Xenopus tropicalis: one gene and its partners. The protein of the gene in region 1 interacts with the protein of each later gene in a pairwise test. Links are inferred from orthologs where the notes say so. Each region holds a gene or a part of one and is shown in the gene's direction. Other genes may lie near its edges.

Region 1 (3,942 bases):
TTCCAAAAAGCATGAAAGTAAGCCACCTGTGACATAACAAATGTGAATTTATAGAATAGGCAGATAGAACAGTCACATTATGGTACTTTGCTTTGCTAGTTAGTCATATGGACCCTAAAGGGACAACTATGGCTTTTGTTTTTGTTTTCTCTATTTTACTTTATATTAGTTATTTTTCTCTGTATACTTTTTGCCTGACCCATGGATATGGGCCAATACTATTGGTGCCAGTTTTAAAAGTAGCACAAGTGAAACAGCAGTTTTTTTCTCTGGTAATCCTTAAACAATAAAACCTCAAACTTACAATATTCGGTGCGTGTATGGTATGTCGGCGAGTCGACCGATATCGCAAGAAGCTGCTGATAACGGCCAACTCGCTGATCGGACCAGTTTGAACATTTTGATCGGGCGCCATAGAAGGCGCCTGACCAAAATCTCCCTTCAGCGCTGAATCGGCAGGAGGTAGAAATCCTATTGTTTCTACCTCCTTACCTGCCGATTCAGCCCTGAATGGTGTGTGGCGGATCTGACGATGTTTCGTGCGACCGATGGTCGCCACGTGTATGGCCAGCTTAAGGTGGCAACCCTATCTAGTGCAAAAAGTGCTACTGTGCTCTCTGTGATAGCGATGCACTAGCCCCTTCTGATGCAAAAAAAAAAAAAATGGTCTCAGGGTGGCATTATAGGTAAAACACCTCTGCCCAGGTCCCTTCTATAATATACTTTTATAAAAGTAAAAAAATTGAGCAGCCACTGAATACAAGGTTTGTAATAATAATTAAAAAAAAACCAACAACCCTGCAGCCAGCAGGAGAGGGCTGAGGCGACACATTATGCTCCCTGTACAAAAGAGTTTGCGGCACCCATAACCAGTTCATTTGTTACTGCACTTCCCTTCCTGCTCAAAAGCTGCAATCTGCTGCCTACTAATACAAACGAATTAAGAAACTCATCTGGCATTGAGTGGGTTAAGTCTAAAAAGCAAGTGCTTTGAGTGGCGTTAGTCACATGAATACGTCGGAAACAGAAGCAGTTCTGTAGTCACTGAATCATTATTAAGCCAGCAGCAACTTTAGCCATGGAGGTTTTATAAGCAAGAGAGGTTCTGTGTGCCGCTCTGGCTTCAGTCTTCTCTATGGTACGGAAGGAATCACATGACAGACCATGTCACAACACAAGGTAGTGCAGTGAGCAAGGGGAGCTGGGCTGATGGATGAAGACGGGCTGCCTATAGTGGGCTCTGGGATTGACCTCACTAAGGTGCGTCTTTTAGGGGGAAGTGAAGGGGAATGGGCAGATTTAATGTGTATTGTAATGTGTGTTCATGTGCATTTTTCTAGTCAGTCAGCTCTACACTAACCTGTAGTCATTAAGGGAAGGCAAGTTACACTTTTACTGTGTATTCATTCATTTTATTTACTGTGCAGTCATGATATTGGTACTGTAATGTTCTTAGCATATCCATATGGCTCCTGTCTTAACTGACCTGCTGTCCCATATACTTGATTATTTACTGTTACTGCACTTGTCTGTAGCTGATGTTTCATAGTGCTTTGTGGTGTTACACTTGCTGTAAAGATGTCCAGTTGTTCAAATTGTGGCTAGGCTTTTCCTTAATGGCACATACATCATGTGTTTCAAAAAAAGCCATTTCCACGAAAGCATTGGTCAGCTCCATTCAGACTCAGACACAATCGGGCTTGTTTATGGCTGCAGTTGTGATGGTGCTAATCAAGGATGCAATCATTAAGAGATTCATTAAAGGTATTTGTGCACTTGCTTATATTTGAACTAAGTAACCTTGTGCCTGTCTGTGCATCTAATGATGCAGGGGAACCCTAGTGCTACCTCTAGCTTGCAGGTGGCCGTAATTCCAGGGTTCCCATTGTGAGCTGCATCAACAGGCACAGCAAACTTACACCCAAAAAATCACATGCAGGTGTCTTTTTAACACAGAGTGGTGGAAATAATGCAGTAGCCTCTACAACTATTTTAATCACATTTGCGTACTTCAGAAGCAGTAGCCCTCTCATTAAGGGTGAAGTCACACTGAGCTACTAGTAGCAGCTACTTTTTCACAGCTACTAAACTCCAGAAAATACCTTGCCATAGACAATAACGGTGAAGGCACACAGAGCTACTTAGTAGCAGCTACTTGTCAAGGCTACTAAATGCCAGAAAATACCCAGCCTTAGACAATACCGAGAATTGCCCCTGCTAAAACATACGTAGAGACAGTAGCCACGACAAGTAGCTGCTACTAATAGCTCTGTGTGTCTTCATCTTAACACTGAAGTACATTGCCTCTTCCGTTTATAAAACATCTCCGCTGGCTTAAGGTCTTAAAAATGTGTTTTTCAAAGGGCTTTATTATGTCATACTGCTGCTTAATAATCCCAGGGATACAGCATCCCTGTTAACAGCGAAGCCCTTCTACCCACTATTATTTTTTGATTAATCCTGTAGACATAACTGTCCTTTGCTGTTGTGCAGAGGACTCTGGTTAGAAGTGTATACACACAGCTAGTATACACGGCCGTCAGCCATGGGCTGCAGAGTGAGATATCCTAATTAACTGGGCTTCTGTATCTTCAGGATTGTGGAATAATTCTATGGCATTTGTTTGAACTCACACTTTTAAGTTTAGTTACCCTATGGAGAATTGGATAAAATCTCTTTTCATTGCAAACTATTAAATCCTTCCCTCAATATCCACTCTTTTTAAAGGTGTGTCTCAATGATGTGCACTAACTAACCCCGATTGTTCAGCTGTGTAAAGGTGGCCATACATGGTAAAATTCACTTGTATGATGGCGTCGCTTAACAAGTGAATCTTTCCCCGGATATGCTCACCTTGAGCGGGTGATATTGTGCTAATGTGATTGTTTGGCCCTAGGGCCAAAAGATTACATTAAAATGAACGGGATATGAGAAGTTGGAGCAAGTACCGCATTAATGATCGGGGAGTCCTGTCCCAATACACAGGCAGATAAGCTCGGTCTAAAGGATCCGAATTAGCAGCTTAAATATGTTGTGTATGGCCATCTTTACATCTTGTCATCCTCGAGCAAGGAGCCCTGCAAAGATGCAGGCAGCTGTAACTTCAGAACTGCAAAAGTGCCTCTGCTGGTCATTATGTGCCAGGCCCCATAGAGTTATTCTGATTAGAGTTTTGGAAATATTGCCTTGGTCAAAAAGCCTTTCAGTTTGTCATTAGTAGGCTAGTTCTATTAAACATTTCACCACTCATCGGAGGAGCTTCTAATTCAAGTTGCTTTAGATTTAACACAACTAGGTATTGTTTTCCATGGCCTGGATGAATGAACCCTTTATATACCTGTTCAAACTAATATCCGTTGCTTGCACTGTGTTCTATACCTTTTGCAAATGCAGTATACTGACCTTTTTTCTTTTATTTAATAAACCCTAGGTCCCACCTATTCAGCAGAAAAGAACAGTGGCATTTTTGAACCAGTTTGTTGTGCACTCTGTTCAGTTCCTTAACCGGTTTGCTACAGTTTGTGAAGAGGTACTGTATTCCTAGCGTGTTCTAGCTTTCCCTCTTTTCTACAGCATTGACTGGAAACCAAGTGCTACTTAGTCTATTGCAGCTTGCACTGTTCAGATGAGAGAATGTTATGGTAAATGTTATCGTTTGAAATCTCAGTACATGTACATTTTGGGGCTTTCAGGTAATTTAATGGCTGCACGGGCTTGGTGGGAGCTTACATTACATTGCCCATATGAACAGGGTCTTCTCTATATGCTGCATAGGCCAGTGATCCTATTTAATTTGCATCTTTGATTATTTACCCCTCACAGAGCTACAGAATATGTCCATTATTTAGACCTTTAATGTTGGTACTTTGTTTTTATTGTTTTAGAAACTTTCTGCCTTGTCCCTACGTATTCAGCAGATTGAAACAACCCTTAATATTTTGG
Region 2 (4,236 bases), on another chromosome or scaffold:
TGGGCATTTTTGCGCAGGTCTTTCAGTTTGTCTAAATCAAGTTACAAAAATTTAATTTTTGTGCGCGCTATTTTAATTTGTGTGCGCGGGTTCGAAAAGTCGTGTGCGCGCGCACACGCGCACAGCTTAGAGGGAACAGTGCTTACTGCATATCTTAATTCCCAGATCCCTGCTTGCTTCTCTGAGATATGGTGCTGACAGCCTACAGCAGTGTGAAGACTACAGTGACATCACTGAAATCTCTCTTCCCTTCCTGTAGGCTGCCAGCGGCAGCCTTCCTATTCTCTGAGCATGTGTGTAACTTGATCCTGTCTCCTGTTCTGAGCTACACATGCCCACCAGCCAATCAGAAGCGGATCTGGCAGAGGGGAGGGGGGGAGGGAGTGAAACACATGTGCAGTATGAAGCAAGGAGGGAAAGGAAGAGAGAATACCTTTTTAGAGATGGCTGCCTGTTCTAGAAAATGTGAAGTAAGTGTGACTGAGTAAATATTTGATTAGGTGAGCCAAAAGTGTGGCGTTTTTACTAAACAATAGGAGGACTATTGGGCAGTATGCTTTTTAAATTTTGACTTGCATTCTCCTTTAATCTGAAGTCATGTAAAAGGGTATTAAGCAAATAAATGGAAATTCTGTTTAGCAGGGACAAGATCATAGAAGAAAATGTCTAAACAGAAACATTTTCAACTTCCGGGTTTATGTGGCAAAAAGTTTTAAGCATTCCGATTCAGTTCGACCAGAGACATGGGTTCACCAAATCCAAATCCTGCTACAAAAGTCAGAATCCCAAACCAAATCCTGGATTCAGTTCATCCCTACCTACTTCATACCTTACCTTCCTTATATTTACTTGAGGCTGTTGGACCTGGATAATTACTAATACATGTAATCAATTGAGAGACATTGTTTCACAATAGGCAAATAATGCGATATGCTAAAATTAAAAACTGTGACGCTTCATTACATGCATATTGGCTGTATAAGTATATTGAATACTTGGTCCTGCACTATTATTTTTATTCATTTATTTTTTAGTTTCGATTTTAAGGGGTCGAATAAAAAGTGGCCCTGCATTAGGATTGCTTTTCCCGGCAAGTTATGTAACTAAATAATCTTCATCAATACACATGTTTATGTTAAAAGCACCCATGAAGCGGAACAGATCTCCTAGAAACCTGGCGGCCCAACCCAAGCTTCTCAGCGTTGTAGTTCGTTTCCTAAGCGATTCGCTCCTGTCACCATAGAAACTACCTCGTCAACCACATCCGGCAACAACTTTGCGTTTATAGCCTCGTTCTAATACTACTACAACATCCTGTGGGAAATTCCTACTCTTGATGCCTATTGGTCAGCAGTCTCCTGAACTATCGCGATATTTCTTGAAAAAAAGCTTCTGCGGTGAGGGGTGGATTGTGTGGCCGGAAAGGGCTTTGGTATTGGAGAAGGATCCATTATGTCGGAGACAGATCCTAAGACAGTGCAGGACCTGACCGTGGTGGTGAGCGCAGCTTTTAGGGCGCGATGTGTTAATGATTATTAAATGATATAAAACTAGGAGCATGGTCCCGCAGTAATGGCCAGTCTGCTTGCAGATTGGAAGTCGCCTTTGTGGCCCTTCTGCCATTAATGTTTACATCTCCCATCACTCTTTTGCTTCTCTCTTTTTTTTTTTTTTTAATACAATTTTTTGTTTAAACTAGGGATTTACAAGACCTGTCATTTTTGATTCGACCAAATATTGAATCCTTTACAAAAGATTCAGCTGATTATAAAACCACAATAGAATCAGAATCTGTATATGTGGATTTGAGATAAATCTCCAATAAATTACACTAAACTGAAAAAGGGGCACAGCCCAATGCAGTAAAGACTTGGATTTAGTTGGAGCAGCCACATAGATGTGTCCCTATTTTAAAGGACAAGGTTATTTTTTCTGCTCCTTTTAACAAACAAAAATGCACTGGCCCCGGGGAACAACGCAGCTCGGCTTCACCATTTTACCTACCTTTGCAATGTGTTTATCCTAATACAGGTATGGGACCCATTATCCAGAATGCTCAGGATCTGGGGTTTTCCAGATAAGGGGTCTTTCTGTAATTCAGATCTCCTACCTTAAGTCTGCTAATAAAATTATGTAAACCGTAAATAAAACCAATAGGATTGTTTTGCCTCCAATAAGGATTAATTATATCTTAGTTGGGATCAAGTACAAGGTTCTGTTTTATTATTACAGAGAAAAAGATAATCATTTATAAACATTTTGTGAATTATTTGCTTATAATGCAGTCTATGGGAGAGGGTCTTTCCGTAGTTCGAAACTTTCTGGATAATCGGTTTCCAGATAAGGGATCCCATACCTTAACTTGTATGAATCTGAAAATTTTACTCTTCTGTGCATCTGAGTTTAAAGTGAGACACCTGGGAAAATGAAGTAAAAGTGGCATTGCAGTGCTGCATTGCTTAGTGATTTAGTAAGGGCAAGACTTGACTTGATTCGTTTTTAATTTTTGGAGTTTCACGAATCAATTTTTTAACAATAAAAATAGTGTTATCATTGTTAAATATTTGTATGTCATTAGCTGAAAACTTGCTGCTCGGTATATATCCTTTTTGGTTGTGCAAGACTTTAAAATGACCAATAACAAAAAAAAAAAAAAGGTGGCAGTACTTTGTAAATGTATTTAAATCTAATAATGTCTGCTCAGAATTGGCAAGTCATTTCATTCACCATTGTTTTTTTTTTTATAAAAATATTTTTCATTCCTAGAACGCTGTAGAAAGCAGTGAATTACAGTTGACAACCCCATTGGTGTACACAAAAAGCCCATTGTATTCTGAATACTTTATCTGTTGTCTGCTTGGCAAAGTGGGCCCTACGCGTCACTGCGATGTCCCACAGTTGCCCAAAGTTTCCTCTCAAGACAACTTTGGGCGACTTCGGGACTTCGCAGGGATGCATATGCCATCCCACCAGCGATTTACATTCTAGCCGGTGGGATGGCATTGCAGGGAGATTAGTCGCCCTCAGCCCTGTTGTATGTAACAGTACACTTAGAACAGTCAATAACCTTTTGGAACCAAGTGCTGTAATTTTAGGAAACAAACATTTCATTGATTTTGGCTACAATCACCATATATGTTTGGAGAAAAAAGAATAAGGGTCTGAAGAGCACCTTGCCACTAGCTTGTGGATGGTTCTGTTGGGGTTGTGTGGCGAGCCAGTGTGGATAGATGGAAGTATAGATTCTACCTATAATCAAAATGTTTTTGGTCAGTGCACTTCTCCAGGTGTCCCTAGTAAGGATTTAACACTCGTACTTGTGCAGAAGAATTAAATGCACAAACCAGTGACAACTGGCAATAGGTTAGTCACATTGCTGCATTATTTTTTTTCTAAAGGGATGTCCAAAACAATATGCACATAACATGTTTTTTTGTAAGTAAATAGTAATTGTGCTTTAAGATTTGCAAGGATTTCAGGGTTAATACTTTTTAACTGACATGCACGTAGCATCATGCCAACATGATAAAACATACATTTTTGGGGTCTGTGTAACCCTGTGCAAGAATCGCATTTCCTAATGCTGAATATGATGATCTCTTAAAGGGTTAAGTGTGTCGTTCCCTTGTTCCACTGTTAACTAAAGTTTCTCAAGTCCCCACTACCACACTCATTCCTCAGCTCATTATTCCTTCAATGGAATTTCTACCAAGACACAGAATCCTGCAGTAGTAGTTAAAGGAACTTTATCAGGGATCCCTGATAACTGCACATTGCTTCTGCATAAACTTCTTACTGCTCACAACAAAGTAGGTAAATGATCAGGGGGTGCCCAAACTTTTGAACATGACCTGACTGTATGTGGGGAAACCTATATTTGTATTGATCACATATAGCTTATTAATTACGTAATTTGTGACATTCTTATAAAAGTGTATTCTGGAACTAAAGTAGAATTGATTTACATTATATAGCCAAACATATCATCTGACATGAATCTGACATGATATTGTGGTTGAGGGTGCCAGGCCGGTCTTGCAGTTTAGATGTTGCTGTGGGTGGCTTTATATGGAAGGTTAATGCAGGTTGCTGCTGATTTACCTATACACTTGTTCCATAGAGTCATTGTATGGTACTGTATAACTTGACAAGACCAGTTCTGTATTGCGCTGCAATATACATGCTTAGGGTATTACTGCCCATGATTTATGTGTTTATCAATTTATTTGCTCACAA
Region 3 (3,500 bases), on another chromosome or scaffold:
AGGATTTTTTCAACTTCCCAGCTTTTACACATTAACAGGCTCTGGCAGGAATTATGAATTCGTTTTATTGTTATGCAAGGTAGTTTTTACCAGGGTGGATAAGCTGTGCCCATTCAGCTTAGCTTTTCACTGAGCTGTGTGATGCCATACCAGTCATAATTTTTAACTCTTTTTTCCAAAAGACCGTCATGATTTGTGTTCAAAAAGGGGTGAGTTTCAGGAGATCTTTAAAATGTAACAGGGTGTTATGTAGGAGAGCTTTGGGAGTGGTTAAACATGTCATGACTTTCACAATAAAGACTGTGACAATGACATCTTCATTGTTTTGTATGATGTTATCTTTCTCTTCTTTAGGTCTAGGTGGGCTGATTCCCCCTTCCCATTTTGAAAACCGTCGTCGTGTGTCTGTTCCTCCACCTTCTGTGTCGGTTACATCTCATCCTCCAATCTGTGAACCATGGACAGACCTTGCAAGGGAGTTGGTAAGCCTAAGGCAAGCAAATGAGGAACTGAGAAAGAAACAAGAGATGGAGAAAGAAGTTATCCAATCAAGGTATATCTAAAACTAGTGGTTGCTCATCTTCCAAACACTTTTTTCAGTTTAATTGTTTTAAGAGAGATTATTTTTTCTAATATTGAAGTTTAAAGTTGCTGTTCCTCTCTCTGGTGCTTCAGTCCAGCAGCTCATTAATCCAGATGCAGACTATTACAATTTGATACTTTTTCGGTGTCTTCTATCTAATGTTAGCAAACATTGTATCAGTTATAACAGTTGCTTTTAATGAAAGCTGGGATTATGCTCAACAGGGCCAAAGAAATGCATCAACTAATGGGATTAGAACAGTTAAGAGTTGGAGACCCCCTCACAGAGCTCACCAGGGAGTAGGTGAAAATGAAACTTTAAAGGGGATGTTCACCTTCAGAACATCGTCTGAATTTGAACAGGCCCTGTGAGAAAAAAACATTTTTGCAAAGCATCTTTATCTTTAATAGTCAGTACTTTAAGCTCTTACTATCACTATCTACTGCTATGCTCTCAGTAGGGGATTTTCCAGATCATATATATTCAATTCCTGACTTTTCAAGAAAAGCAACAGATTAATAATATACTCCTAAAAAGTATAATGTGTCTGCACCAGCATCTTTAACAACTCTGATTGTGGATACTTACAGTTGTTGTCCCCAGCAATATGTCTGATGGCTGCACATTCAATATGTCCAATGTCAGCAATTCTAAACAATACGGTGTGATTTAGCTGTCGCACAAATTTCTCACATGCTGCAACTTTTGTGCAATATGTTGAGTGACATGATAATTTGCATTTATCATTACATGTAAAGTCCTTCACATTCTTTTTGACGTTATTTTGTAAGATCATTATACCATACTAGACCATTTAGTTTGGAATTTTGGCCAGAAAAGATTGATACAGTAGACAATTGCATGACTAATGTAGTTCTTCTTCACAAACTTGGGCATAAACAAGCTAAAAAAAATCTTGCTGCGCCTTGAGGGTGGGCAAAATTGCATTAACAAAATAAGGTAGAAAAGTAAAGGAATCTTATGTTTTAATATCTAGCCTTAGGTCTTAAACAGGTGTAAGGGCATGTATTACACAGACATTTCTTTCTGGAATGGAGTAAACATTTGGATTATATTCAGGACAGGTTGTAGATTCTTTAAATGGATACTGTCTTGATTTTTATGGTATACGTTTATTTCTAAATTACACTGTTTACATAGCAGATAATTCATTTTACCATTTACAATTATATTCTCGAACAAAGAAACGTATTTTTTTTAAGTTGTAATATAGGTCTTCATAATTAAGATGACCAATTAAACTTGTGCTGTCTACACCATACTAAAATGTGTGAACTACATATTTACTTCGGAACAGCCAAATTAAGTTAAGCCAGCCACTTGAGAACTCTGTAAGGTGTCAGTGGCCACCCTGTAATTTCTCTGGGCCTGTACAATTTTTTTCCAAAAAGGGGCATCAGGGTTTAAATTTGCCTTTTCTTGCCCTTAAAAGGGGAACTACTATACAGTGGATGAAAAAAAAAGTTTACAAACTTTACAAATGCAATGCATGTATTACTTTGTTGAGTTTTTTTTTTTTAATCATAATGTATAAAGCGATTTATGCCTTGGCATAGCTTCTTTTCTGCCTCTGTTGAAAGAGTTGCATCAGAGATGCTTTGGTTGACTGAGAAAACCTGCCCAGCATAGTTATGAACATCTACCTTCTTTATTCTTCCATGTTGCACACACCAGTAAGCTCTGGTGTATACATAAAAATGCATTGGGACACACTTTTATGTAAAATCCACCTATTAGTTTTGTTAGTTGGCCCACAGTAAAAAATATAGGTAGCACAGCAGGTAAAATTTCTAACCCTAACTTTGTCACATATTTTATCCTTATTGAAATTTTTATTGAAGAGGCTGGCTCATTCAAGGGCACTGAATGGCAAATATATATAACAGGTCATATCTTTTTGGAGATGCCAAGCCCCCTTAAATATCCTTTATTATCTTATCTTATTTATTACCTATGCTTGTATAGAGGGGGTGATACATGGGCCCTATCTGAACAGGAGTGGTTGGGGTATGCACCGAGAAGACAGGAACAGAGAAAGGTCCTGCTGAAGTTTTATCCAGCAACCCATGCTTACAGGTAAACTCATGGGTCCAGTGTGCTTCAGGCTGACCTCCAACAGTTGCCCTGGAATCAGCAACTCACATAATATGGAACAGAACCAACCAAAATAGTTTTAAAAGTGCCCTGACTTAAAGCCAGATGGCAGGTGAGTAACAGCTTAAAGAACGAAACCCAGCTTTTACAGCATGTCCCCAAAGCATTACCACTAGTCCCTTTTCTAAACCACCGCACTGAAATGCATGCACCAGGGATTTAGTTTCTTATAGCGAGGCAGTGGTGATTCCTTCCCATGAAAATTAAGAAACTCCATGCAGTCAAATCAAGATAAATATACTGGCTGCATCAAATTCCTCTAAAAGGTGCCTTTGTTCAAGCATGTAGTTCTTCCAGGAGACAGTAAAAAATACTGGCAAGATATTCCTTTTTGTCTTTATAGAATAAGATTCTCCTCTGGGCATTGAACTTCAAAGCTGACATATGTTTCCCTCTGCTCAACACTGAGCTATTTCAGGGCTTATATTTTGGCTAAGAATGGCTACATTAATACTTAAATTTAGCAAAATAAATTTGTTCTGTGTTTAGGCTAATAATATCAGTCTATTGCTTATTTGTTATAGTTCTTAAAGTTTTATAATATTTCACCTTATTCCAAAGCACTGTACAATGGTTTGGGGATACTGGAAACTCTAGGGCAAACAGATAAAATAATTGCAACTATAGGAACAAATATAATGAAACTTGGGCATGAAGCCTTTTCTCCCAGTTGGGGGCAGTGGTGAGCGTTTGTGGCAATGTTTCACAACATAAAAGGGTAATGGGATATATAGCATGCTTA
Region 4 (3,500 bases), on another chromosome or scaffold:
CAGAAACGAATGCAAGACAAAAAAAAGGCAAAGGGTCTGGGTAAGTTGAAACCTTTAAAGTCAAGTATGCCATACTTGCCATTACAATCCCTGACCTGAGGTATTGTTCAATATTGTTTTCCATTGTTACATAATGAGACCGTTTCAGGACCACCACAATGCGTCTGCCTCAAACAATGTGGAGAATTGTTAATCATGTCTAGTAGCTAAAGATTTCTATAGACTAGGTGTTTCCAATCCATTTCTCAGTGGGCCCAGGTTATGTCAGGCTGTCAGCTGTTTCACCCAAAATTTGTATTTGTAGTATTTTAATTGTCTCACATTTACTGCATATACTTGGCAGTATTATTTCCAAATGTGTCCTTAAATTATTGATGTTAATATTTTTACACATTTCATCATAGGATAATAATTTTACTAACCAGCTTGTATTAACTTAGTTGTATTTCTTGACTGTTACCCTTTTTCTACCTATAAGTGGCAATGTAGAGTGTTGTAATGTGTATATGCATTTGAGATTAGTTTTTTTTTTTTTAAACCCTTTACCATAAAATGGTAGTGTGTGTGTGTGTGTTCTAGTTATTTTGCTTGTAGCAATGTTTCCAGATTGCTGTTATGTTTAAATCTGACAGATCCCTCATGTTTTAGGAAAGGAGATCACATTATTAATGCAGACTCTGAACACACTCAGCACCCCAGAGGAAAAGCTGACTGCCCTGTGTAAGAAGTATGCAGAACTGGTGAGGGACCATAAGTGCAATGGTTATTGATGACGTGTTAATCTTTAAGCTTATTTATATTGTGAGTGGCTGATCATATTGTAAATGTAATTTTCTTTTGTTTCCCTCTACCCAAGTTGGAGGAGCACAGGACATCTCAGAAGCAAATGAGGATACTGCAAAAAAAACAGACCCAGCTTATTCAAGAAAAGGATCTACTTCGTAATGAGCACAGCAAGGCAATCCTGGCAAGAAGCAAGCTCGAAAGTTTGTGCAGAGAGCTACAGAGACACAACCGTACACTAAAGGCAAGTACTCTGACTACTAAGTTCCCACTTACACAGGAGCATGCTGTAAGTTGATTGTGTTATTGGCCCATGCCCAACTCTACTTCATCTACATAGTATGCTGAGATACTCCCTATATCATTGCTGTCAGTTGGTTGTTTTGACTTTGTTGTTTTGAAGCTCAAACCTAGCATTTCTGCTCAGCCTTTGTATCGCATGTATTTGCACCTGCACAGGAGGAAGGAGTACAGAGGGCTCGTGAGGAGGAAGAGAAACGCAAAGAAGTAACCTCCCATTTCCAAGTGACGCTCAATGACATCCAGTCACAGATGGAGCAGCACAATGAACGTAATGCTAAACTGCGTCAAGAGAATGTTGAGCTTGCTGATCGACTTAAGAAGCTTATCGAGCAATATGAGCTAAGAGAAGAGGTGAGGGGAGAGAGGATTGTTTTTATTTGATAAAACAAAGCAATGGAATAATGTGGAATTAGCCACCAGGGTTAGTGACACATCTATTGATGATTTGTTATGCTTTGAGCACTCACTTCTCTCACTACCAGGAGATCACATAACCCATTGGGTAAATTCCCTCCTTTCAGGAGGCATGGCAAGGCAAGACAGAATTCGTGAAGCTCATGTTCCCTTTTTACCCCAATAGCTCACCCCTTGTAACATAAAAAGTGGTAGAATTCAAAGCAGAGGGAAAATCAAGTTTTCAAAATAAATTTTAATTCATAACTATTTGGCATACCTAAAATGTGTATGTAGTGTAAAATAACTATGTACTTGTAATAAGAAGAATGAGCCAAGCGTATTTTAAGGAAAGACTGCACTATGTCTTTACTAGCAGTCTCTAATGTAACCATCTTCCATTTTCCGTATATTTATTTTTGTTCCCTCCAGCACATTGACAAAGTTTTCAAACATAAGGATCTTCAACAGCAACTGGTGGATGCGAAGCTTCAGCAAGCACAAGAAATGCTGAAAGAAGTGGAAGAGCGTCACCAGCGGGAAAAGGAGTTTGTAAGTTACTACAGTTGAATCGATTTTTATATTTTATGATATGTTGCCCAAATTTTTGACCATCTCATCATTAAATGATGAGTGAGTTTAAAGGGTAATGTTATAATAGCTGAAATGTGTGCTTCTGGTCTAGTAACTAATTGGAACCAATCCAGATATTTACCAGCAGACCAGTAACTGCTCCCTGAGCAAACATTTAAACATTATAATACCCCCTGAAATATTTATATAGGTCAGTGTTAATTTGACAAAAACATCATCCTACAATTCTTGTCTTGCTGCTGCACAAGTAATTCTTTCTTATCACATCCTGCCTACAGTATCCCCCCCCCCCCCCACCCCTTTATTAGCTATATTTTTTGTGGCAGGCTGACCTTTCATGACTTAAGGTGGCCATACTGAGGCAGATTTAAGCTGCTAAGTAGAGTCCTTTTAGAAGTATTAGGCAGCTTGTCCTGTTTATGGGGACCCCCAACGGGGCTACCCAACTGAAATCTGGCAAGGTGTCAATCAGGCAGGTTTGATTTTTCCATCAGATCGGGGACTGCGGTTTACTGATGCAGTCCTCCCTGACAGTTTCTCTCACCTTTCTTAGGAGACGTTGGTTCTCGGTTTATTTTGTGTCCACCTTAGGCTTAGGATAAAAGGGGAGTTATGTCTTACTCTGAAATCCTTTTCTTCACTTTGTACTGTCCATAGGAGACAGAACTTCCAGTTAGGGGTAGGAAGTCCTGTTAGTCCTGCACCTATAAACACTTTGTGGCAATATCCATTGCAATGATTCATTTGCCCTTTGCACACAAATTCAATAAGTAAAAAGCTGCATTAACTGATACCCTGTTTACAAAGAGAGTTGCATCCACTTTGGCAGTGAACATGATGATCTGCATCCATACCTTGCACTTTGTGCTCACTTCATAAACGAGCCCTAATGTTCATTCCACCCTGAAGTAGGGAGCAGGAAATGGAAATAACCCTGCCCAACTACCTTATCCTGTCCTGTACTTTGGTATTCAACATGTTGAGCTATAATATAGCACCAGAAGAGATTTCAGCCTAAACAAAAAGGGAAAAAAATTCACCTAGAAAGCCACACAATGACCTCATCATACGCTGGCAGTGGAATCAGGACAATAGGATTTTAAGCATGATGTATACAGGGGTATAGATAAGATAATTAAGCTTTTTGTTCTGCAGCACCCCAGTTTGAAATTCAAAATCTGTTACTAATGTCTTAATTACTGGTACAGTTAAATGACTAACTGATAGATGAACAGAAAGCTAAATTACAAAAATGTAATGAAAATAAAATTAAAATATAGATTTAGGTTTAATACACATTTGGTTGCTGGTGTCCGTAATGTATTTTATATTTCCGTCTGTAGGAAGCAGAACTGAAAGTCAAACCGTTTAAGCAGATCGGGAACCACAGGCAATACAAAATGTAGACTTAAGCTGTGTCACACTTA
Region 5 (4,098 bases), on another chromosome or scaffold:
ACTGCTACTGTAATTCCCTTCCTGGCCAGGCCTCCCCATACTGCTACTGTAATTCCCTTCCTGGCCAGGCCTCCCCATTACTGTCTTACTGTAATTCCCTTCCTGGCCAGGCCTCCCCATACTGTTACTGTAATTCCCTTCCTGGCCAGGCCTCCCCATACTGTTACTGTAATTCCCTTCCTGGCCAGGCCTCCCCATACTGTTACTGTAATTCCCTTCCTGGCCAGGCCTCCCCATACTGTTACTGTAATTCCCTTCCTGGCCAGGCCTCCCCATTACTGTTACTGTAATTCCCTTCCTGGCCAGGCCTCCCCATACTGTTACTGTAATTCCCTTCCTGGCCAGGCCTCCCCATACTGCTACTGTAATTCCCTTCCTGGCCAGGGCCTCCCCATACTGCTACTGTAATTCCCTTCCTGGACCAGGCCTCCCCATACTGTTACCTGTAATTCCCTTCCTGGCCAGGCCTCCCCATACTGTTACTGTAATTCCCTTCCTGGCCAGGCCTCCCCATACTGTTACTGTAATTCCCTTCCTGGCCAGGCCTCCCCATACTGTTACTGTAATTCCCTTCCTGGCCAGGCCTCCCCATACTGCTACTGTAATTCCCTTCCTGGCCTCCCCATACTGTTACTGTAATTCCCTTCCTGGCCAGGCCTCCCCATACTGCTACACGCTAATGTGTCGGTCGGTACATGGCCCTGCATGTGAGCCATCCCTCTGTATCATGCTATGGGCGTGTGGCTGATAATAAGCCCCTGTGTGACAGCGCCCCCAGTGGGGCAGTTCCTACAAGCCGTACCTCCGTGCCGCATCCTCTGTCCCACACACACCTGCAGCTACACGGGTTACTACTAACAACACTACATACAGGGCGCTCCGCTTCACTCACTTCCCCACATCTTCCTCCATCTTTTCCACTAGCTGAGGTCACTTCCGCAACTTGTTGCCACAGAAACCGCCCGCACAATCATCTTGGGTCAAGTTAGGCACCGCCCAGCGCCAGGGCATGCTGGGAAATGTAGTAGCAAGCTATACTGACCTACGCCGCAGCTTTACGCATTTTAGGCAATAACAAACTAAACTCCCGGAAACCCATGGCGCTGTCCCTCGGCATTAGTTCCCTGGTCATCGCTTAAACCTCGCTAAAAAGAAGGAATTAATACTAGCGGACATATTTAGTTCTGGATTTACCGGTTAGAAAGTCGTGGGCTTTAACATGACCTTTTTTTATAACTGCAGACTTTTTACTCTCTAAAAATGTGTGTACGCCAGAACAACTATATCTTATGTGAACGCAGTCAGGCACCTGTGGTAATACACCTCCAGTATTAAATATGTTCTCAATTTGCATCATATCGCTTCCAACAGAGATTTAGTCACTTTCCGTGAGGACGATTCGAAGCTCAACTACACAATCAAGTTTCTGGAATAATGTTTTGCCAGTATGCAACATGGCGCCCACATACTCAGCTTCCGCTTTGTCACTATGGAATCTAGATTGTGTCCTAGGAAGTGACGTCTGTAAACAGCAGCGAGTTGTATCCGTGGCAGCTGAAGCCGAAGGGTACCGGGAGGTAAGAGCAGCTGGTGTGGGGCAGTAAATGTGACCGTTCCGGGGACTTTGGGGCTAATGGAATAAAAGGCGATAATTCTGATACTGAGCAAGTTACTCATAGCATCCAGTCTGCAGGTGGCATGTCGTTGTTACAAGCAAACATCTGGTTGCTATGGGTGACAAGCCCTTGGCAAAAATTCCCAAATTCATTGCGCTCCACAGAATTTTCAGCGTTAACAGGGCAGCTTTTGCTGATTGGCAGCTCCACCTTGTGGGACTGGGGTAGGAGACAGTCAGTCAGCAACAGATACAGCGGCATAGTAGCCTGGAACATTCCTACACTAGTATGTGTCTAATAAATAACACAATTATCTTCATTATCAGCTTTATGAGATGTACCTAGTGATTGTATTAGGCTGAGGCTGCTTACAGGGCTAGTGTAGGGCAGGCAGGACAGAGAGGGGCAGTTCTGGGGCACTATGGGGCAAACTGGCCTTTGTGCTCAGAAACCTGCAGCCACTGTGCATAAGGAAATCTCATCCTGTCTGTGCACTTAGTGCATCCATGGCAGGGGAATAAGGTAAGAGTAAGAGGCTTGATGCTATAGGGACACCCATATTTGTGTGAGCATGATGGGATCTCTCTGTTATCCTATTCAGGATAGCCACATAGTGTTCAGGGTCTGAAAGAGATCCATCATCTTTGTCCCTCATCACAAAACCGAAGGCAGCGTTTGTTAATGTTTGTATTTTTTTTTCATGATTCATATTTTCATGTTCTTTTGGTTTTTGTTTTGCATTTTAGTTCTTTCAACAAATGACTAGACACTTGGGGGCACATTTACTTACCCACGAACGGGCCGAATGCGTCCAATTGCGGTTTTTTCGTAATGATCGGTATTTGGCGATTTTTCGGAAAATTATCGCGACTTTTTCGTTGCCATTCCGAATGTTGCGCAAAATCTGGCGATTTTTTCAGAGCGTTAAAACTTAAGCGAAAAGTTGTGCCTTTTTCGTAGCCATTCCGAAAGTTGCGCAAAATGTTGTGATTTTTTCGTAGCGTTCGGATTCATTCAAGCTTCAGTATGGTGACTTTTCTTGGGCCAGGTTGGAGCTGCAGGGTGCCATTGAGTCCTATGGGAGGCTTCCAAAATCTTGCTAAGTCTGAAAGTTTCGCCCGCCGCTTACGAGCGTTCAATACGAAAAAGTCGCGACAAGATACGAGCGAATCTTAATGGCTACAAAAATTCGCGTTTTTCGCGCAAATCGTATTGGTAACGAAAAAGTCGCGACAATTTCCGAAAAGTCGTAAAGGCGCTGAAAAAGTCGCAAAATGTTCATTTTCCAATCTGAATTTTTCCAATTCGAATTCGTGTCTTAGTAAATCAGCCCCTTGGTTTTAGTGGAAATGAGTTTTTTCATGGTTTTTAGAAACCTCTAAAACCATGAATTTTAGAGTAATATAGTAAATTGCAAATGTGCCCCAGCATTTTGTGCCAGTGTGTGGTATTCCCTGTTACATCACACAATCATTACTAAGATGGGGGTTTTTCCATGCTCTGTACTGCTAAAGACATAGTAAAGCAGCCCTCTCAAATTTCTGAACAGACAATAAAAACATGTTTATTTGTACCACTTTTGTAATCAGCCCCTTTGACCTAGAAACATCAGATTTTGGGGCTAACTTTCTGTATAGATGCTTTATAGGCTCAGGTTAAAAGGCTGAAGTTCATTGATAGCAGCATCTCATGTGTAAAAGATGTATTACACTGATAGGTTCTTGAATTTGAAATAAATAAATAGATCTTCTTGATGAGTAAAGCCAAATAGATCTCTCATTTGATGCAGAATAATGGCTTGGGCAGCAGATGCCACTGTTTTTACTGAAATCTATAGATAAGGTGCTTTAATGTATGTGTTACTCCCACTCCTATCAATAAATATCCAGTTAATGAGAATGCCATAGTCCATAACATACTTACAGGTAATTTTCAGGTGGACTACCACTTTAAAGTAAAACGTAACCCCAAATGGCTTCTGTTAATTTCTCTTTTGGCAAAGAGCTACTCTGCAGCTTCCCATAGCCAACAGTTGTTTGTCACATAAATTGAACCCTTCCTCCCTCAATAAGTTACTTTCTAGGTGCTGTCACGACATGAGGATTTTTAAGAGATCTTAAGATGCCCATTTAGTCGCTTGATATATTTTAAGAATACTGTGGTGGGGGTATCTTTTAACATTTGACCAATAAGTCTGCTACCACAACTGTTGTTACTTCTCAGATGTAGAAGGCAACCGCAGGATCGTCATGTGAAAGAACCACAATAATAGCAGGAGTCAGAAGGATAGGTGGTTCTTAAGGGATTTGCCTGGCTGGTGTGAGAGAAGCTGGGGGAAATGAGCAGAATGGGCTGCTCTGATTTCTTGGTGTGGTTGATGACTGCGGGCACCATTCCCTTTATTTATTTATTGGTTTGTGGCAAATCCCTCTGGTGACATCACAGATGACTGGGTTGGGCGTGGTTATATAACTGAAAGCAT
Region 6 (4,225 bases), on another chromosome or scaffold:
AAGATGGAGACAGTAGGACAAGATGGGGACAGTAGGACAAGATGGGGACAGTAGGACAAGATGGAGACAGTAGGACAAGATGGGGACAGTAGGGCAAGATGGAGACAGTAGAACAAGATGGAGACTGTAGGACAAGATGGAGACAGTAGGGCAAGATGGAGACAGTAGGGCAAGATGGGGACAGTAGGGCAAGATGGAGACAGTAGGACAAGATGGAGACAGTAGGACAAGATGGGGACAGTAGGGCAAGATGGAGACAGTAGGACAAGATGGAGACAGTAGGGCAAGATGGAGACAGTAGGACAAGATGGGGACAGTAGGGCAAGATGGAGACAGTAGGGCAAGATGGGGACAGTAGGGCAAGATGGAGACAGTAGGGCAAGATGGGGACAGTAGGGCAAGATGGGGACAGTAGGGCAAGATGGAGACAGTAGGGCAAGATGGAGACAGTAGGACAAGATGGGGACAGTAGGGCAAGATGGAGACAGTAGGACAAGATGGGGACAGTAGGACAAGATGGGGACAGTAGGGCAAGATGGGGACAGTAGGGCAAGATGGAGACAGTAGGGCAAGATGGAGACAGTAGGGCAAGATGGAGACAGTAGGGCAAGATGGGGACAGTAGGACAAGATGGGGACAGTAGGGCAAGATGGAGACAGTAGGACAAGATGGAGACAGTAGGACAAGATGGGGACAGTAGGACAAGATGGGGACAGTAGGGCAAGATGGGGACAGTAGGGCAAGATGGAGACAGTAGGGCAAGATGGAGACAGTAGGACAAGATGGGGACAGTAGGGCAAGATGGGGACAGTAGGGCAAGATGGAGACAGTAGGACAAGATGGAGACAGTAGGGCAAGATGGGGACAGTAGGACAAGATGGGGACAGTAGGGCAAGATGGGGACAGTAGGGCAAGATGGGGACAGTAGGGCAAGATGGAGACAGTAGGGCAAGATGGGGACAGTAGGGCAAGATGGGGACAGTAGGGCAAGATGGGGACAGTAGGGCAAGATGGGGACAGTAGGGCAAGATGGAGACAGTAGGACAAGATGGAGCATCAGCTTGAGGCCTGGGTTACATGGTTGCTATGGGACTAAGGCAATGAACACCAGCAGGACCCACTCTAGGAGCTACTGGTTACACAGTAATACATTGCACCTGTCACTCACCTACCCCAGACCCACCCCCCTGGCCCCAGACTGAGGCTACAAGCTCAGTGGGCGGTACCTGATACATTCTGAGTGACAGCCTCAGAGCTGAACTAGACTAAATACTTTTCTCCCCTCAGCACTGCCCCTGCCACTCACTCACATAAGCTCCTCCCCAGACCCCGCCCCTTCAGCTGTCCGTGCACCTGTCACTTTTCAAGCCGGGAGACACAGGGTTAAGCCATAGTCGGGGGCGGAGCCAGATGTCCCTCAGACACAATGAGACGTTCTGTTTGGCCCCGCTCCCTGGGGGAGAGCGCTGATTGGCCAGCTGGAGTCACGTGGGATGCGAGAACTGGAACCTGTTGCTGTAGAGAAGTTTGTGAGGTGAGTTTGGGGCAGCGGGAGCGGTACCGGCACATTAACCCCCGCACTGCCGGGACATTCCGTCCGTAACCCCCGCACTGCCGGGACATTCTGTCCGTAACCCCCGCACTGCCGGGACATTCTGTCCGTAACCCCCGCACTGCCGGCACATTCTGTCCGTAACCCCCGCACTGCCGGGACATTCCGTCCGTAACCCCCGCACTGCCGGGACATTCTGTCCGTAACCCCCGCACTGCCGGGTCATTCTGTCCGTAACCCCCGCACTGCCGGCACATTCTGTCCGTAACCCCCGCACTGCCGGGACATTCTGTCCGTAACCCCCGCACTGCCGGGACATTCTGTCCGTAACCCCCGCACTGCCGGGTCATTCTGTCCGTAACCCCCGCACTGCCGGCACATTCTGTCCGTAACCCCCGCACTGCCGGGTCATTCTGTCCGTAACCCCCGCACTGCCGGGTCATTCTGTCCGTAACCCCCGCACTGCCGGGACATTCTGTCCGTAACCCCCGCACTGCCGGGTCATTCTGTCCGTAACCCCCGCACTGCCGGGACATTCTGTCCGTAACCCCCGCACTGCCGGCACATTCCGTCCGTAACCCCTGCACTGCCGGGACATTCTGTCCGTAACCCCCGCACTGCCGGCACATTCTGTCCGTAACCCCGCACTGCCGGGACATTCTGTCCGTAACCCCCGCACTGCCGGCACATTCTGTCCGTAACCCCCGCACTGCCGGGACATTCCGTCCGTAACCCCCGCACTGCCGGGTCATTCTGTCCGTAACCCCCGCACTGCCGGGTCATTCTGTCCGTAACCCCCGCACTGCCGGGTCATTCTGTCCGTAACCCCCGCACTGCCGGGTCATTCTGTCCGTAACCCCCGCACTGCCGGGTCATTCTGTCCGTAACCCCCGCACTGCCGGGTCATTCTGTCCGTAACCCCCGCACTGCCGGGTCATTCTGTCCGTAACCCCCGCACTGCCGGGTCATTCCGTCCGTAACCCCCGCACTGCCGGGTCATTCCGTCCGTAACCCCCGCCACTGCCGGGACATTCTGTCCGTAACCCCCGCACTGCCGGGTCATTCTGTCCGTAACCCCCGCTCTGCCGGGTCATTCCGTCCGTAACCCCGCACTGCCGGACATTCTGTCCGTAACCCCCGCACTGCCGGGTCATTCTGTCCGTAACCCCCGCACTGCCGGGTCATTCCGTCCGTAACCCCCGCACTGCCGGCACATTCTGTCCGTAACCCCCGCACTGCCGGGTCATTCTGTCCGTAACCCCCGCACTGCCGGGTCATTCCGTCCGTAACCCCCGCACTGCCGGGACATTCCGTCCGTAACCCCCGCACTGCCGGGACATTCTGTCCGTAACCCCCGCACTGCCGGGACATTCTGTCCGTAACCCCCGCACTGCCGGGTCATTCTGTCCGTAACCCCCGCACTGCCGGGACATTCTGTCCGTAACCCCCGCACTGCCGGGACATTCCGTCCGTAACCCCCGCACTGCCGGGACATTCTGTCCGTAACCCCCGCACTGCCGGGACATTCTGTCCGTAACCCCCGCACTTGCCGGGTCATTCTGTCCGTAACCCCCGCACTGCCGGGACATTCTGTCCGTAACCCCCGCACTGCCGGCACATTCTGTCCGTAACCCCCGCACTGCCGGGACATTCTGTCCGTAACCCCCGCACTGCCGGGACATTCTGTCCGTAACCCCTGCACTGCCGGGACATTCTGTCCGTAACCCCCGCACTGCCGGGAACTACATGGGGCCCCAAGGAACTGTCAGCCAGGGAACTACATGGGGGCCCCAAGGAACTGTCAGCCAGGGAACTACATGGGGGCCCCAAGGAACTGTCAGCCAGGGAACTACATGGGGGCCCCAAGGAACTGTCAGCCAGGGAACTACATGGGGCCCCAAGGAACTGTCAGCCAGGGAACTACATGGGGGCCCCAAGGAACTGTCAGCCAGGGAACTACATGGGGCCCAAGGAACTGTCAGCCAGGGAACTACATGGGGGCCCCAAGGAAACTGTCAGCCAGGGAACTACATGGGGGCCCCAAGGAACTGTCAGCCAGGGAACTACATGGGGGCCCCAAGGAACTGTCAGCCAGGGAACTACATGGGGGCCCCAAGGAACTGTCAGCCAGGGAACTACATGGGGGCCCCAAGGAACTGTCAGCCAGGGAACTACATGGGGGCCCCAAGGAACTGTCAGCCAGGGAACTACATGGGGGCCCCAAGGAACTGTCAGCCAGGGAACTACATGGGGGCCCCAAGGAACTGTCAGCCAGGGAACTACATGGGGCCCCAAGGAACTGTCAGCCAGGGAACTACATGGGGCCCCAAGGAACTGTCAGCCAGGGAACTACATGGGGGCCCCAAGGAACTGTCAGCCAGGGAACTACATGGGGGCCCCAAGGAACTGTCAGCCAGGGAACTACATGGGGCCCCAAGGAACTGTCAGCCAGGGAACTACATGGGGGCCCCAAGGAACTGTCAGCCAGGGAACTACATGGGGGCCCCAAGGAACTGTCAGCCAGGGAACTACATGGGGGCCCCAAGGAACTGTCAGCCAGGGAACTACATGGGGCCCCAAGGAACTGTCAGCCAGGGAACTACATGGGGGCCCAAGGAACTGTCAGCCAGGGAACTACATGGGGGCCCAAGGAACTGTCAGCCAGGGAACTAC

What was found.
Region 2: the proteins of washc3 (region 1) and hsbp1 interact in binary tests that used the Homo sapiens proteins (3 or more experiments, as listed by UniProt). The two-hybrid records come from large-scale screens. The link is inferred for Xenopus tropicalis from reciprocal best matches to the Homo sapiens genes WASHC3 and HSBP1.
Region 3: the proteins of washc3 (region 1) and cchcr1 interact in binary tests that used the Homo sapiens proteins (3 or more experiments, as listed by UniProt). The link is inferred for Xenopus tropicalis from reciprocal best matches to the Homo sapiens genes WASHC3 and CCHCR1.
Region 4: the proteins of washc3 (region 1) and txlna interact in binary tests that used the Homo sapiens proteins (3 or more experiments, as listed by UniProt). The two-hybrid records come from large-scale screens. The link is inferred for Xenopus tropicalis from reciprocal best matches to the Homo sapiens genes WASHC3 and TXLNA.
Region 5: the proteins of washc3 (region 1) and ift20 interact in binary tests that used the Homo sapiens proteins (3 or more experiments, as listed by UniProt). The two-hybrid records come from large-scale screens. The link is inferred for Xenopus tropicalis from reciprocal best matches to the Homo sapiens genes WASHC3 and IFT20.
Region 6: the proteins of washc3 (region 1) and pbxip1 interact in binary tests that used the Homo sapiens proteins (3 or more experiments, as listed by UniProt). The two-hybrid records come from large-scale screens. The link is inferred for Xenopus tropicalis from reciprocal best matches to the Homo sapiens genes WASHC3 and PBXIP1.

The regions. Positions count from the first base shown.
Region 1 is NC_030679.2:49,099,141-49,103,082, reverse strand, and holds the start of washc3 (WASH complex subunit CCDC53), read left to right. Parts: upstream 1-1,142; 5' UTR 1,143-1,209; coding exon 1,210-1,260; intron 1,261-3,430; coding exon 3,431-3,529; intron 3,530-3,884; coding exon 3,885-3,942. UniProt on the Homo sapiens protein: Acts as a component of the WASH core complex that functions as a nucleation-promoting factor (NPF) at the surface of endosomes, where it recruits and activates the Arp2/3 complex to induce actin polymerization, playing a key role in the fission of tubules that serve as transport intermediates during endosome sorting.
Region 2 is NC_030680.2:62,632,707-62,636,942, forward strand, and holds the start of hsbp1 (heat shock factor-binding protein 1), read left to right. Parts: upstream 1-1,436; 5' UTR 1,437-1,452; coding exon 1,453-1,497; intron 1,498-4,236. UniProt on the Homo sapiens protein: Negative regulator of the heat shock response. Negatively affects HSF1 DNA-binding activity. May have a role in the suppression of the activation of the stress response during the aging process.
Region 3 is NC_030684.2:75,151,315-75,154,814, forward strand, and holds part of cchcr1 (coiled-coil alpha-helical rod protein 1), read left to right. Parts: intron 1-354; coding exon 355-553; intron 554-3,500. UniProt on the Homo sapiens protein: May be a regulator of keratinocyte proliferation or differentiation.
Region 4 is NC_030678.2:86,595,709-86,599,208, forward strand, and holds part of txlna (alpha-taxilin), read left to right. Parts: coding exon 1-40; intron 41-648; coding exon 649-740; intron 741-856; coding exon 857-1,027; intron 1,028-1,242; coding exon 1,243-1,437; intron 1,438-1,911; coding exon 1,912-2,031; intron 2,032-3,500. UniProt on the Homo sapiens protein: May be involved in intracellular vesicle traffic and potentially in calcium-dependent exocytosis in neuroendocrine cells.
Region 5 is NC_030678.2:47,412,886-47,416,983, reverse strand, and holds the start of ift20 (intraflagellar transport protein 20 homolog), read left to right. Parts: upstream 1-1,298; 5' UTR 1,299-1,577; intron 1,578-4,098. UniProt on the Homo sapiens protein: Part of intraflagellar transport (IFT) particles involved in ciliary process assembly. May play a role in the trafficking of ciliary membrane proteins from the Golgi complex to the cilium.
Region 6 is NC_030684.2:145,127,653-145,131,877, forward strand, and holds the start of pbxip1 (pre-B-cell leukemia transcription factor-interacting protein 1), read left to right. Parts: upstream 1-1,425; 5' UTR 1,426-1,534; intron 1,535-4,225. UniProt on the Homo sapiens protein: Regulator of pre-B-cell leukemia transcription factors (BPXs) function. Inhibits the binding of PBX1-HOX complex to DNA and blocks the transcriptional activity of E2A-PBX1.